Linked DNA regions of Arabidopsis thaliana. The protein of the gene in region 1 interacts with the protein of each later gene in a pairwise test. Each region holds a gene or a part of one and is shown on either strand. Other genes may lie near its edges. The genes, in order: MTACP-1 and AT4G04320.

Evidence for each region.
Region 2: the proteins of MTACP-1 (region 1) and AT4G04320 interact in a two-hybrid assay, tested with the Arabidopsis thaliana proteins (one large-scale study listed by BioGRID).

What each region holds. Positions count from the first base shown.
Region 1 is NC_003071.7:18,410,861-18,416,717, forward strand, and holds MTACP-1 (mitochondrial acyl carrier protein 1), read left to right. Parts: upstream 1-3,340; 5' UTR 3,341-3,459; coding exon 3,460-3,651; intron 3,652-4,028; coding exon 4,029-4,205; 3' UTR 4,206-4,475; downstream 4,476-5,857. Other genes in the region: RAB6A (Ras-related small GTP-binding family protein), read right to left, coding at 918-1,064, 1,345-1,435, 1,820-1,931, 2,105-2,193, 2,291-2,361, 2,907-3,023; AT2G44630 (Galactose oxidase/kelch repeat superfamily protein), read right to left, coding at 4,969-5,857. UniProt on the Arabidopsis thaliana protein: Carrier of the growing fatty acid chain in fatty acid biosynthesis. May be involved in the synthesis of short and medium chain fatty acids.
Region 2 is NC_003075.7:2,109,975-2,117,980, reverse strand, and holds AT4G04320 (malonyl-CoA decarboxylase family protein), read right to left. Parts: upstream 4,641-8,006; 5' UTR 4,417-4,640; coding exon 4,333-4,416; intron 4,100-4,332; coding exon 4,017-4,099; intron 3,946-4,016; coding exon 3,855-3,945; intron 3,760-3,854; coding exon 3,633-3,759; intron 3,547-3,632; coding exon 3,381-3,546; intron 3,261-3,380; coding exon 3,116-3,260; intron 3,033-3,115; coding exon 2,942-3,032; intron 2,861-2,941; coding exon 2,802-2,860; intron 2,725-2,801; coding exon 2,647-2,724; intron 2,519-2,646; coding exon 2,435-2,518; intron 2,344-2,434; coding exon 2,168-2,343; intron 2,082-2,167; coding exon 1,953-2,081; intron 1,869-1,952; coding exon 1,796-1,868; intron 1,714-1,795; coding exon 1,628-1,713; intron 1,541-1,627; coding exon 1,456-1,540; 3' UTR 1,288-1,455; downstream 1-1,287. Other genes in the region: RbcX1 (Chaperonin-like RbcX protein), read left to right, coding at 927-943, 1,053-1,115, 1,201-1,281.

The DNA.
Region 1 (5,857 bases):
AATAAAGCACAAGTGTTATGTAATTTTTAGCTATTAGTTGGTACTATGTATGAGGATTTGATTGATGACAATATAATTATGAAATATAGTGTCATTAAAATTTTCAAATAGCTTGGTTGGACTATTCAAAAATATGACAATACTTTTCAGCTGCAATGAAAGAAAAACAATCGTACAAGTTTCTGTTTTTTTTTTTCTTTTTCAAAAGGATATGTCATAAATTCATAATAAGTAATTACAAAAAAACTCATTCCACTAACTTAGTTCCATAAAATCGTTACGAGTGATTATTGCTGATTAAGTGAGTATACACATTATTTGGGATAGAATTGCTGAGTATACTCCAACTGCATTAACCCACCAGAGCTTTTTACGATGAGAGAAGCTTAATTTTAGGGACATGGTGGAACTGGAGAAAAATACCTGGGAACAGTGTGAGACTTTGAATTTAATTAGCTCATTTAAGTGATCTGAACTAACGACATGTGTACGAAATTAATTATCTGTTTCTTTATGGGTCAAAGATTAAAAATGCTGTGCTTCTTTCTCTATCAGACTATCACATGGAAAGACGAAACGAAATGAGAGTTTTTATTACCTAGCAGCTCACAGTTATACATAATTAAATTCATAGACCGACAAATCACAGTTTTGAGAAATAAGTAAACAAAAGTACTGAAGCAGCGAGCATTTGAAACTCCAAAGACCACAAAAGATCACAGTTAGGGACAAACCATAGCTAAAACAGAGTCTTCTTTAAAAACAATCCGATGAAGAAAAAAAGTTGAAAAACAGGCAAAAATTTTACAGATGGAAGACGATAACTGATCGAATCATGCAAAGGGGCTTGAGGACATTTTTTAGTAGTGTGTTTTGTTGTTCTCTATCGATTTGTTGTTGTGTTGTTGTTGCCAAATCTAACAAGAGCATCCTCCTGATTGCTGCTGAGCGAGAGATGCATTTGCATTGGAAGACTTGAGATTGACATCAACCATATCCTCTTGCTTTGTTGAAGACAATGTCTCCATTCCCGGCAAAGCTGCTGCTATCTTGCGGAAGAGCGCCTAGCAATACAAAAAGGTTTGAAATCATAAGAAAACAAGATTTGCACGGAGTGATAGCGTTATGGATTTGCGGTAATTGTTTAGAGAGTATCAGTGAAAGATCCATACAAATGAGGAGGATGTAATAATCAGCAGGTTGGGTTAAAAATTTATAAGTCTAGGTTAATTAACTATTGAATATTGATGGAACTAAACAAAGTTAGGGCTTAGTTGAACTAAGCAGCAAGTTTTTGTTGTGCAAGAAACCCTCAGAAATGTGTCAAGCCAAGATCTTTGTTACCTTAATGTTGAAGCCCGCTTTGGCACTGGTTTCGATGAACATTACATTAAGTTCGCGTGCCTTAGCTTCTGCTTCCTCTATTGACACTTGCCTGAGAAACAAAATATTTAATACAAAGGCCCAATTGGCAGTAACAAATGTAGTAGGCACCATCAAGTGTCAAAGCGTGTTGACTATAAAGAAACCCTGTAAAGATATGCAGTTGAGCAGCAAATGATTTTCCATTTATTATCTTGTAGGGTCGTTTGGCAACATACTCAATACCACCAGAAAAGTAAGACGTGGTTTAACAACAGTTTGTACTTGAGTAAAACAAAAAAGACACCCATTCGTCTTGTCAACATACTTACGAAATCAGAGCGTGTTTAAACAAGGAGGACTACCAAATTTCAGTCTCAATTGCTATTGAACAGTAATTTGCACATCATGGTTTAACAAGAAACAAGTAGAGGAAGAGATGGTAGATCATTATTACCTTTTGTCCACTAGATCAGTTTTGTTTCCCACAAGCACGACTATGACATCACTACCACGTTCTGTCCTAACCTCATCGATCCACTTAGTAGTGTTTAGGAAGGACTGCCTGCCTATATGTCAGTGGAAAACAAAATAAATCTCGAGTTTCACAACGCACAATGGATCAACATAAAGAAGAAATCGAAACGCATAAATTCATAAGATTACTGAAAACCACATCCCCAAGATCTCAGATATGGGAAAATATTCATGTGTTTGAGAGAACGAGTGAAGGTACACATACTTGCAACATCATACACAATAACAGCAACGGAGGAATCCCTGATATAGCTCGGAATTAGACTCCTGAATCGCTCTTGCCCAGCTGTATCCCTGTCATATGATTTCGGCTCTCGATGTTAATCATCAAAAAATGATCTGCAATGTTATTCTTCAGTATTCGAAAATTGAAAGAGGCTCAAGATCTTACCACAACTGAAGTCTGACCGTTCGATCTTCAAGGTACATTGTCTTTGATAGAAAATCAATACCAATTGTGGCCTGATGATTATGAAACAACATAAAAACTACTTAGAAAAGGAAGAACATTCTGTAAAATGACGATAAGCAAGCATGGTTCACATATTATTAGGAGCTTAAACGTAATTCTCATAATCACAGAACAAGATCAGATGCTTTCATTCATCAATTGAGAACTAATTCGATTAGATAAACAATGATAACATGATCAAAGAAACATCCTCATATTAGTGTTACTGCGATCTTCTATTGGACTGAATTCTCGACTTTGTACAATAAACGAGAGTGAGCGATTACGATGCCAAAATCTCATTCAGCTGATTGTTACGTCCTATACATTGACTAAAACACGATCTACAAATCAGATCACACATAATTACGCAAAACCAAACGCCCGATCACGTAAACGAGTAAGAACTTCGAACTGAAAAACACGATTCCCGTCCATGAAAACGGATCTCAAAATCAATCAAACCCTGGGATTTTCCCGACTATAATCCCTCAAAATAGAAGCAAACGTCGTGCATCGTCGAGATAATACCTAGATTTGAACAATGGAAATTTACCTGGTAAGTGTTGTCGAATTTGTCGTACATGAATCGAGTAATGATACTGGTTTTGCCGACGGATTGATCTCCCAGAAACACCAGCTTATACTTAGCGAGTGCCGAGACCGGAGCCATGATTTCTCAAGGATCTAACTCGCCGGACGGATCTGAGAAACGTCGAGATCTCGCTTTGCTGAGAATAAAAGTTTCCGATATTTACCGGAGAGAGATCCCGTCGCTCTGGAATTGCAAATACTGTATTAGTGAGAGTTTGTTATTCGTAAATTGCAGTTTATTCCTCGAGTGACCCAATTGGGTCATTTATGTTAAATTAGAAACTATTTGAGATAAGTTACAAAATATATAAAAACTTAGAAGCTGATTAAGGAATTTACTACATTATGGGCAGCATTTATAAGCCCACGTAAGGATTTGGGCTAGCCTTATAGTAGGGGGCACGTGTCATCTCGTATGACCTGAACTATTTTTGCCCCTTTTGGCTACTTGACTCTTCTGTGTCTCTCTCATCAAATCAAATCCCTAATTCTCGAGCTCGAAGAAAGAGACGAAAATGGCACTGAGAAATGCAATTCTTCGTCACCTGAGGGTTCCGGTGCAAACCCTAGGATTGAATCAGTCTAAAATTGGGTTCCTTGGTACGATCCGGTCATTTTCTTCGCACGATGATCATCTTAGCAGAGAAGCTGTCGTCGATAGAGTACTCGATGTTGTCAAGAGCTTCCCCAAAGTCGATCCCTCTAAGGTCAGCTCGATCTTCATAAAATTTGGCCAAATCGTGATTCTTATCTTTTGTTTTCCTCATTATTGGGAACAAAATGATTATTTTGCCTTGAATATTTGTCAATGTAGGAGCTTTTGGTTGATTTCGTATTGATCTAGTGGAAATAGAGACCAAATGTATCTGAAACGATGTTGCATTAGTGTTGTTAGTAAATTGAAGGTTATTGATCTCAATGTGGTTTAGTAAGTGTAGCTTATCGTGTTGTTGTTCCTATGGATTTGATTTGATATGGTCATTCTTATGGATTTTGCATTTATGAATCCTTCATCAACTCTCTCTAATAAGGGTTGTTTGGTTAGGGTTATTTTTGTTGATGGCTTTGTGATAAATATCGACAGGTGACTCCTGAGGTTCATTTCCAAAACGATTTGGGATTAGATAGTTTGGACACAGTGGAGATAGTGATGGCTATTGAAGAGGAATTCAAGCTGGAAATTCCAGACAAAGAAGCTGACAAGATCGATTCTTGCTCTCTCGCCATTGAATACGTTTACAATCATCCAATGTCTAGCTAATCGCTGTGTGCTCTCTCATGGTTTCTCCTTCCTTTTTCTTGTATGAGGTTCTTCTCTCTTTGATAATGCCATAATGGGATTTGCAAAAAAATCACTTTTATTTGGAGAGCATTGTTATTGACTCTTTTAACGGTTCCAGTTTCTTAAAAAGAAAACCTTTTTGCTTGAATCTTGTGAAAGTTGACACTTTTTCTTGAGTTAATACTTTAATACGATTTGTATATAATACACTTGATTCTTAGCATGGTCTTGATCATACATTGAAGACGAATCTTTGAAAAACATACTTGTTTTAAAAAACTGATCGTCTCTCTTGGATACATATGCAAGACCAAGAAATTGGATCTTATATACTACATTACATCATAACGTGCTATTAACTAGAATTGTTTGTCAGCCATCTTTTGGATCGAATACAGACAGTAGTTTTCATTTGGACAAGTTTTCTGCTTCATCTCAACTACAGCATTTGTACCAAAATACACCAATATCTCTATCCACAAGTTAGATGTTTTAATTAGGAGATACATTTCAGGTTTCGTTTGAATCGATTTTTTAGTAAATGGGACAAAATGGGTGAACTTACAATATTAAAAACTTGCTAAGCTAATTATGCAAAATGGATAGGGTGGAAGGAACAAAGCAAGATGCTGAAACCGCAACAGCAATGAATCTTGTAAACACATTGTAGTGATATTGATCATAATGACTAAAGAAAGACTAAATAAACATCTAACGTCAACAATATATCTCTTGATTAAGTTTAACCCGAAAGAGACAGACAATGGCGCAAACTATAGTTGTTAGGAACGATTCTGAGAAGTTGAGACGGTTCTTCAGTTCCATGAATTCCTACTTCACTCCTAAGCAAGCCAATCATTCTACACCAAATCTCTTTGCTTTCACTAACATTACTTGGTTTTCCCCATATAAACGCCAACTTTCCGTAGTATTCCCCGATCCCAATGCATCGAGCTTTGTCAAGATCTAAACCATAAACCACTCTCCACAACATCAGCTCAGAGTCATACCACATTAACCCAAATCTAAGGAAGTAAACGAAGAGCACATTGTCAATCACGCATTTTCCTGTCTTCCACCAATTATCTTCAGGTATCGTATATCTTTGATAAGAACCATCTCTAGTATCGTAAGAATTCATGTATTCCCTCGAATTTAAAGCATAAACCTTCCTATCAAGTGAAACACTTGCATGCGTGAACCATTCGTTTCTATCCTTTGCCTTAGGAATCGGCGCTGCTTCCCAAGTTTGTGTCTTTAAGTCAAATACTTCCGCTAGGATCTCTTCGCCTCTGTTGCCTCCGATCACATAGATCTTACCACCGACTAGTCCTACGGTAGCTGATAATCGCTCCACTTGCATACTAGGTCCTTGACGCCACTGTCCAGATTGGGTGTCAAAGATCCATACGATTGATGATGAGGGAAAATTATATCCGGGAATGCAGTAAATCTCTGTATCAATTGCGATATTGGAAAGAGGGTAAGAAGCATGCCCGGGACGATAAGGAACATCGATGGAGACGAAGACATTCTCAGTCGTATTCATCTTGTTATCATTCCTCCGGAGAGTGAACCAGTGAAAAGTCGTCCGGTTCCGGTTCGGGTATGTAGTTCTGGTCGAGAAGCAT
Region 2 (8,006 bases), on another chromosome or scaffold:
ATCAATAATTTGGTTATAAAATTCTAGTATGCGTTTTCTTTTTGTGAAACTTGTTAGTTGGAATTTTAATTCTAGGTTCTTAAAGTTATACATTATACTTTTTTAACAAATTTGGTTTTCTTCTAGTAATTTAGACGAAATCTCTTTACTTTTTCCAAACATTCTTTTCGTACATTGGAAGTTGAAACTTCTCACTAAAATAACTAGTTATGGGAGTTCGGTTTATATATTCGGTTTCAGTTATATCCATTCGCTTATCGTTTTTTTTTTTGTTTTAAAGTTTAGTATCCCTTCGGTTAATTTGAAAGTTCGGTTCGGTTTCGATTATTTCGGTTTTAAAATTTAGTATCCATCCGGTTATTTTGCTTTAAATATTTTTGGATATTTCGGTTATTTTCGGATATTTTTGGATATTTTCGGATATTTTGAGATATTTTTTTTATTATTTTTGAATATTTTTACTATTTTATATATATTCTCAAGTATTTTTAATTATCTAGTCTAGAAATAACTAATACTTTTGTAAATATATATTTATATTTTAGATATTTTTGGTTACTCAAAATATTTCGGTTGGTATCCATTCGGTTTCAGTTATTTCGATTATAAAATTTTGTATCCATTCAATTAGTTTCTGGTTATCGGTTCTGTTTACTTCGGTTTTGGTTTGGTACATCTGGTTCGGGTAATTTGCTCAGGCACAAAACTAACAGTATAACACAACTAATCTGTGCAATTCTTGTAAAGAAAAACTACTTCAAAAATTGCGTGACGAAATACAATTCCACCAATTTGCGGATTACTAACGAAATCACTTTGTAGATCCATAAGTTTCGTATATCTTTTAGGTATACATATACTTGATATGAGATAAGTAAACTAAAAACTTTGCTTTTTTTTTTTGGTATCATGGCCAATGCAACAAGCCCTTCGAATTTTAGAGGTAAGCTAAGCTTTTCTTTTCTCCTTTAATACATTTTCGAAAACACTTCTACATCTTTTCTCATCTCTACGTTTGTATTTACGGTTTGAAACCGTTTGTTACCGCTTAGGTACGGTCTGCTTATTGTAAAAACGATTTCGAATGGGATAATATGAAGCGCCTCGCCTTCAAGGTTCACTTCTATCTATCTCTCTCTCTCGTTGTACATATATGAATGCAAGTACGTAATGAAGCATCTTGTGTTTTTGAAAATGCAGAACGTAGATGATTCCAACACAAGACTCATGCGCGAGTACGTCTTGGAGACTAGCCATGTCGAAACCGATTCTGATAAGTGAAACCGAATATCTCTTCGAATCACATTCATATATATAGAGTCTTGAGAGTATACACACTTGAAACCGTTTGTACATACATATACATACCATTGTGCTATGTTACTCCCAGGTTTTGATACCTTAGTTTTTTTTACCTGCAAATCGATCAAAACCCGATTTTCTTTGCGGAGTTACCTAGAGACGGGAATGGATACCGGGAGAGGCATGGATTTTGCCCGACCCAAAATACGATTGAGCATAGTCTTCGATATTCTCTAACCTGTCATGAATCGAATAAGATGGGTTTAGGACCAACAAAAATGAAAGCTTCGTAGCTGAATAATTTAAAGTACAAAGTTTACTTTACCTATAGACATAGTTTACCATAATGCCTCCACTTTGACGAATACCTTTCTCTGATCGATCCGCCATCCAATTTATTCTTTCAACCATCTATGTAACGTATCAAAACATGAAAGCTTATCAATCTCAATCACTCTATTAACTAAAACCTATCGTCATTCACTGGACTTACCGCTCCATTTTGCAAGTGGAAGTTAGCAACAGAGTCTAAAGCTTTTCCTCTCTTCTTCTCTTGCAAGAGGTACCTATCAAAATCAAGAAAGACCATTGAAAGTTATGCCTATATGATTCATATATAACCATTACATCTCCTCCAAGAATGAACATACCTAGCACATAACCGCATAAGAATAGGTTCTAAAACTGGTAATAGGCGAGGCGAAGTAGCCCAATCGCAGTTCTTTACTGATAGCAAATTCAACAGAACTTCCATACCGTTGCTACCGGATGAAGATTCACTGCATAAAAAGATCACTGAGTTGATGACTTGAACTTGATTTTCTATATAACAGATAAGAACATAAGGGCATGAAGAAAATCTTACTCTGATAGAGTCATGAGGGCATGTTCCTCTTCTGGTAGTAATACTTTCTCACTAAACGTAGATGAAGGCGAATTGCTCTGTGTACCACGCTCATCTTCAGCAAATCTTGACTGAGATGATAACTTCGAGAGGAGCCATTGCATGAATCCAGGAATGGGGCTAAGTGTTGCAAATGTCTGCAACAAAAAGAACAGTTTTGTTGAGCAAGCAGATACAAACTTTTAGACCTGTAACAAGATTTGCATACAAATTAGTCAAAGTACTCACAGAAACATGTGGCATGTCTTTTTTCACCAACGTAATCACTCGTTTGATCAGAAATTTTCCGAGGTTTATCCCAGCTAAGCCAGGCTGCAAATACATAAGACAGAAGTCATAAAGCCATAGCTTTCATCAGAACCACGAAATGAATAGAAAATGTGAAAATCAACGAGAACAAATGTAAGAACTACAGATATGAAGGAAGAGTGTGCACATACCTGAGTTGAAGAAATAGAGTAAAATAAAGCGCATGTTGCTTGGTTCTCTGGTATGGGAGGATTGTCCCACAAAACTTCCTGCAACGCCAATGAATTTTTTAGACACATAGCTATAGAATCTAAACTATACCGAATAGTATCAAGATTAGTTTGACCTGAATTGTCTGAGCAACAGTCTCCATAAGAGCAACTTCTATAAAAATAAGTGGCTCACCTGAGAGTAACGACATAGAATGATCAAAGAATGTGGTCAACTTACAATCAAAGAGACATGAGTCCAGAGAAAGTAACTAACCAGGAACAGATGGATGAAAATATCCAAAGCATCGACGGCCTATTCCCAATCTTCTTTTAAGATCCAAGAGGTTGCTGATTGGATGCACCGCCTTATAAATAATGCGTTATTAGACAAAACTTTTAACATTCTGAAATAGCTGAGATTACTATAATGGAGACTAGTACTGCATACCTCATATGCAACAATTTTCTCAAGCAATGAAGCAGGATCATCCCAAGTAATTTGATGAAGCTCTAAAGTGGCAGGACTAAGCCACATACCGAGTTTCTCCTTCAGAAAAGAATCTAATGTTCGCAAAGACGGCGTGTTCTCTTTTCTATACATTAGAAACAACCATCAGTGTCAGATACAACCGGAAATGTTTTACCAACTGATTCGAAACTATCTTCAAATATTTGAGTTTCCAGTCACATAACAAGAGGACAAGAAACATTACGAGAGTATCGACAGAAGATCAGCTCGGAGGATGGACAAAAATCTCAACCCTCCAGGATGTGTATTCAACCTCTCAAATAAAACTTCATATGTTGGCCTAAGAGCATGCCTCAGATTCCTCTCAATGCGATAGAAAACAGAAGATAAAGCCCCCTTATCATCATCACCTAAAGAAAAGTACTCGCCCATCAATGGAGAATGTAACGAAGAATCACACAAGAAAAAACAAGAATGGCACAAGAATGACTCTCACTAGCTGGAGTTTCAAGTCCAAGATATTGCTTAACAAGTTCTCGGACTTGCTCTCGGTTAACATCATACTCCTTGGCTAAAACAAGCAGTAACTTCTCGCGGTCTTCAAGCGAAAGGCTAAAGTAACCCTATAAGCATTTTTAACCATATATGTAATCAGATTGAAAAGGTTAAACACATCAAAGATCAGAATCAAGAAACAACAATGTGAAGATAGTTTTACCTCTTGAAAATCATTAAGAGTAATGTCTAATACACCAGTTTTACTAGCTGAGATAGCTGAGTGCATTGTCTCTCGAACAACATCATAAACCCTAAAACAAAAACCAAACTCACTACTGCAAAGATCAATGGTGCTAAATCAATATCTACAATGAGAAATTACCTTCCAGTGGTACCAAAATCATTAGAATTTTGCACAATGTGATCTCTAGAATGATTCTCTTGAGGATTAGATTGAATTTCCTTCTGACAACAAAGTCAACAAACCATTATTATAGAGTCAAATTAGCCTTATTATATTCTTATCTTCTTAAAAACATTCAAGCTCCGATTAAAGCCATAGCCAATTTCTCACTCTCTCTCTCTCTTTTTCATCAAAAGATGTAAACTTTTCATTGCCCATGATTACAAATTGTGTGAATTTGGACAGAATCGCAAAATTATCCAAAAAATTCAAACAGAGAAAAAGAAAAGCTTACAGGAAATTGAGAGAGGGAAAATTTGGAGGGATTGTTGGATCTCATTCTAGCACGCAACAGAATCGCTAGATTTTTCTTGCTCATATCTGTTTCATTATGATCATCATCATCACGGTTAAAATTTCATCGGAGAAAAAAAGGAACTCAGGAAGAAGAAAAAAGCGATTTCGCAATCAGACATGACAGGAACCTTAAAATCTGGCCGTTCAAGTATCGGAAAAAAAAATCGAGACTTTGTATTCCCTTTTCAACGGATAGCGTAAAGGCACTGGCTTTTAAAACGGCGTCGGTTTTACTTTACCTGTCGCTTCACTTGCCACAAAAATTTGAATAAATGGCAGGAATGTCACTTTCTCCAAAATAATAATCACGAATGCCACTTATTCTTTATAATTTTATTTTTTTTTATAATTAAAACTGATGTAAATATCCAAATAACTTTTTAAAAAATTAAAATATACAGATCCAACTAAAATAATCCGACCCAAGTACAATAAAATAATTAACTTGGCCCAAATAATACTATATTTTTAATATGTAAAGTAACAGTTTTATCCAAATTTAAAAGCATTATTCTTAATAAATAAAAACAGGATTCATATTTAGAAGAAAAAAATTAAAATTAAATAAATTTTGAAATATAAGTAATAGATTTTTTTTTAAAAATCTCTATTGATAAATTCGAAATGTATGTATTATTCGAAATATGTTTTAGTTGTTGATAACATTTTTAATTATTTTTGAAATAAATATAGTTTATTTATCTATTTATATTAAAATTTAACAATTTAATATCTAAATATATTTTAAAGTTTATCACTTAATAAATATAGTTTATATATATTATTTTAAAGTTTATCACTTAATACATATAGTTTGAAATAAATATAGTTTTGAAATAAATATAGTTTATATATATTATTTTGGACAAAATTTTGTTTAAAATATTTAAGATAAGAATTATCTTTTAAATTATAGTTAAATCAAATATTAACTTATGGATTTTTTCTGTTTAAAGTTTTAATTATATTAAATTATAATGAGGTTATTTTATTAATTTTATATATAAAGTAGGATATAGTATTTTTCAAATAAAAACTCATAAAAAAGGCATTTTCCAAATTTACTCATATCATACGCCCGAAAAATCGATTGGAACTTATTCAATTGAACAATTTGAACTATATAAGTTGAACTCGTTCGATTGAACCAGATGAACTAGATCAGTTGAACTATTTGAACTAGATCAGTTGAACCATTTGAACTAGATCAATTGAACCAATTTCAGTTATACCATTTTATTATGCAACAATGGATTGGTTTGGGGAGCAACGCGATTCAGTTACTACATTGTACTGACTACCATTGCAAATATCTAAACAGCCATTTTTGTTTCGTTCATTCACTTTCTTCAATCGAGATCTATAGACAGAGTAGAACAAACAAAGCGCTTGTAAAGAAAAGAAGACGTTGCGACGGAAGAAAAAGCGACCGATGAAATATATGAGTCGACCGGAGATGGTATCTCTAAAGGAGGAACGTTTCCAGAGTGGACAAAGTAAATATCGAGATATCGATCTAGATTTCGATCCAACAATATCGATGGAGGAAGACACATCACCTGAGAATCGACGGCTGCCGAAATGGATGAGCCGACCAGAGATGGTTTTTCCCGAGTCGACAGAGCCAATTGAATTTATACACCAAAAAATGGTTAAAAAAAAAAAAAAACTGGTTTCCATCAACCAGAGAAAAGCGTCGTAAGAGGAAGAACAAGACTATGCCTGGGATACACTTGAACAATTTGTTGCACATGAAAAAATTAATTCATGTATTTTGAATTTGTATTTCTCGGATTTGTATGAACAATTCAACTAGTTCAACTTATTGGATTAGATTAAAAACATATATGTATTTGTGTTCGTGGTACTTTTTAATTTATTTAGTTGAGCTAGTTCAAATGTCTTTCTTTGGTTTTCGTGGTAACATTTAATATAATTAGTTCAACTAGTTCAACTAAATAACGTTAAAATGATTAAATTTGTAAAATTGATAATTTATTATACATGTAAAATTATATACGAATATCCCAAATTATAAATAAATAATTTTAGATCAATGCAATAAAATTTAATATTTTCTAAAATCCAATTTTGTTTTCATATAAAACACCCCTTCTAATATAAGAAACATTTAGTCTATGAGCACCTTATATGAAGTAAAATAGGTAAAAAACCAAGTTTTCACCGATGTCATATTATGAAAACTTTGGAAATACAAAATAATAGAGAAAAAGTGTGCGTTCAACTTATAATTAATTATTTACCTTCTAATTCAACTGTAAATTATGAAAATTGTGGAAAGTTCAACTATGAATACGATGGTACAACGGTATAACTACGAGTATCTTCTACCGCAAAAAGATAAAATATTTTTTAGTGGGGTCCATATGTTGAGTAAATACAGTCACTAAATTAAATCCAACGTTTTTGTAGGGTTTATATATAGAATATTTATGTTTTTCTTATTTTTATTTTATTTTTGAAATTAAATAAAAAATTATTCATTAAGGGTAAAATAGGAATAACACATATAAAGTGGCATACAGATCAAAAAGTGGCATGCCGGATTCAAATTTCTGGTTCAGTGACATTCTTGACTGGGACTCCAAAAATATATTATGAGGATAATTCCAATAAGGTTTCTCCACATCTATAATTGAGAATAGGACTGGGCACATTACCCATACCCGATCCCCGAACCCGAACCCGACCCGAATTAAGGGGTTCAGTACGGGTATGGATTCTATTAATAACCCGATCGGTTTATAGATTTCATGTCTTTGGTTACCCGTACCCAATCGGTTATTACCCGATAATCGAACCCCATCCGAACTAACCCGAACATATATAAGCATTTCTGAGACTTAGAACCCTAATTCACTTTCCTTTCTTCGATTTCTCCACTACTCAGCGGCGATCTCCGAAATTTGCGAGCCATGATTCACAAATCCTATATATATATATATACCCCCACTAAGCAAACTAGAAACCCTTATTAGCAATTTTGCAGCGTCTCCTCCATCAGAGAACTCGAAGTATCATTCACAGGTACTAAAGTCTTCCTCTTCTTCGTAATTTTTTCATTATCTTTGTATGATCATTAGTTGTATGATATTCTGTATTTTGTAATGTTTGTTGCTAGTTGTCGATTTTCTGTATAATGTTTATTGACCTTGAAATAAGGCTAATGGTATTTTGACATAGTATATGGCTTCATGTGGAGTTTGATGCTACTTGGTAGATGTCGTGTTTCTTGAAACTAGTTGGTGGCTTCTTCTTTACTCTTTCGTAACTAGTTAATGTTGCTATGTTTGTCTGATATTTAAAAATTTATGTTTCTATGTTTGTTATTTTGTTAGATTTCGTCTTTCTATGTTAATGACTTCTTTTTAGTCTCTGTAATTGTTTATATGCTTGCCTTTGTTACACATAGTTTGTCTCATGATTGTTTTTGTCTAATCACTTGATTGATGTTCTGTATTTTTATATGTATGTTGCTAGATGTCGTTATTGTCTTTGTCTAATAATAGATGGCTTGTTAGATGACTTATTATCATTTGACTGTATTTCACATAGTGGAGTTTGTTGTGGCAATAATTCAACGTAGATAAT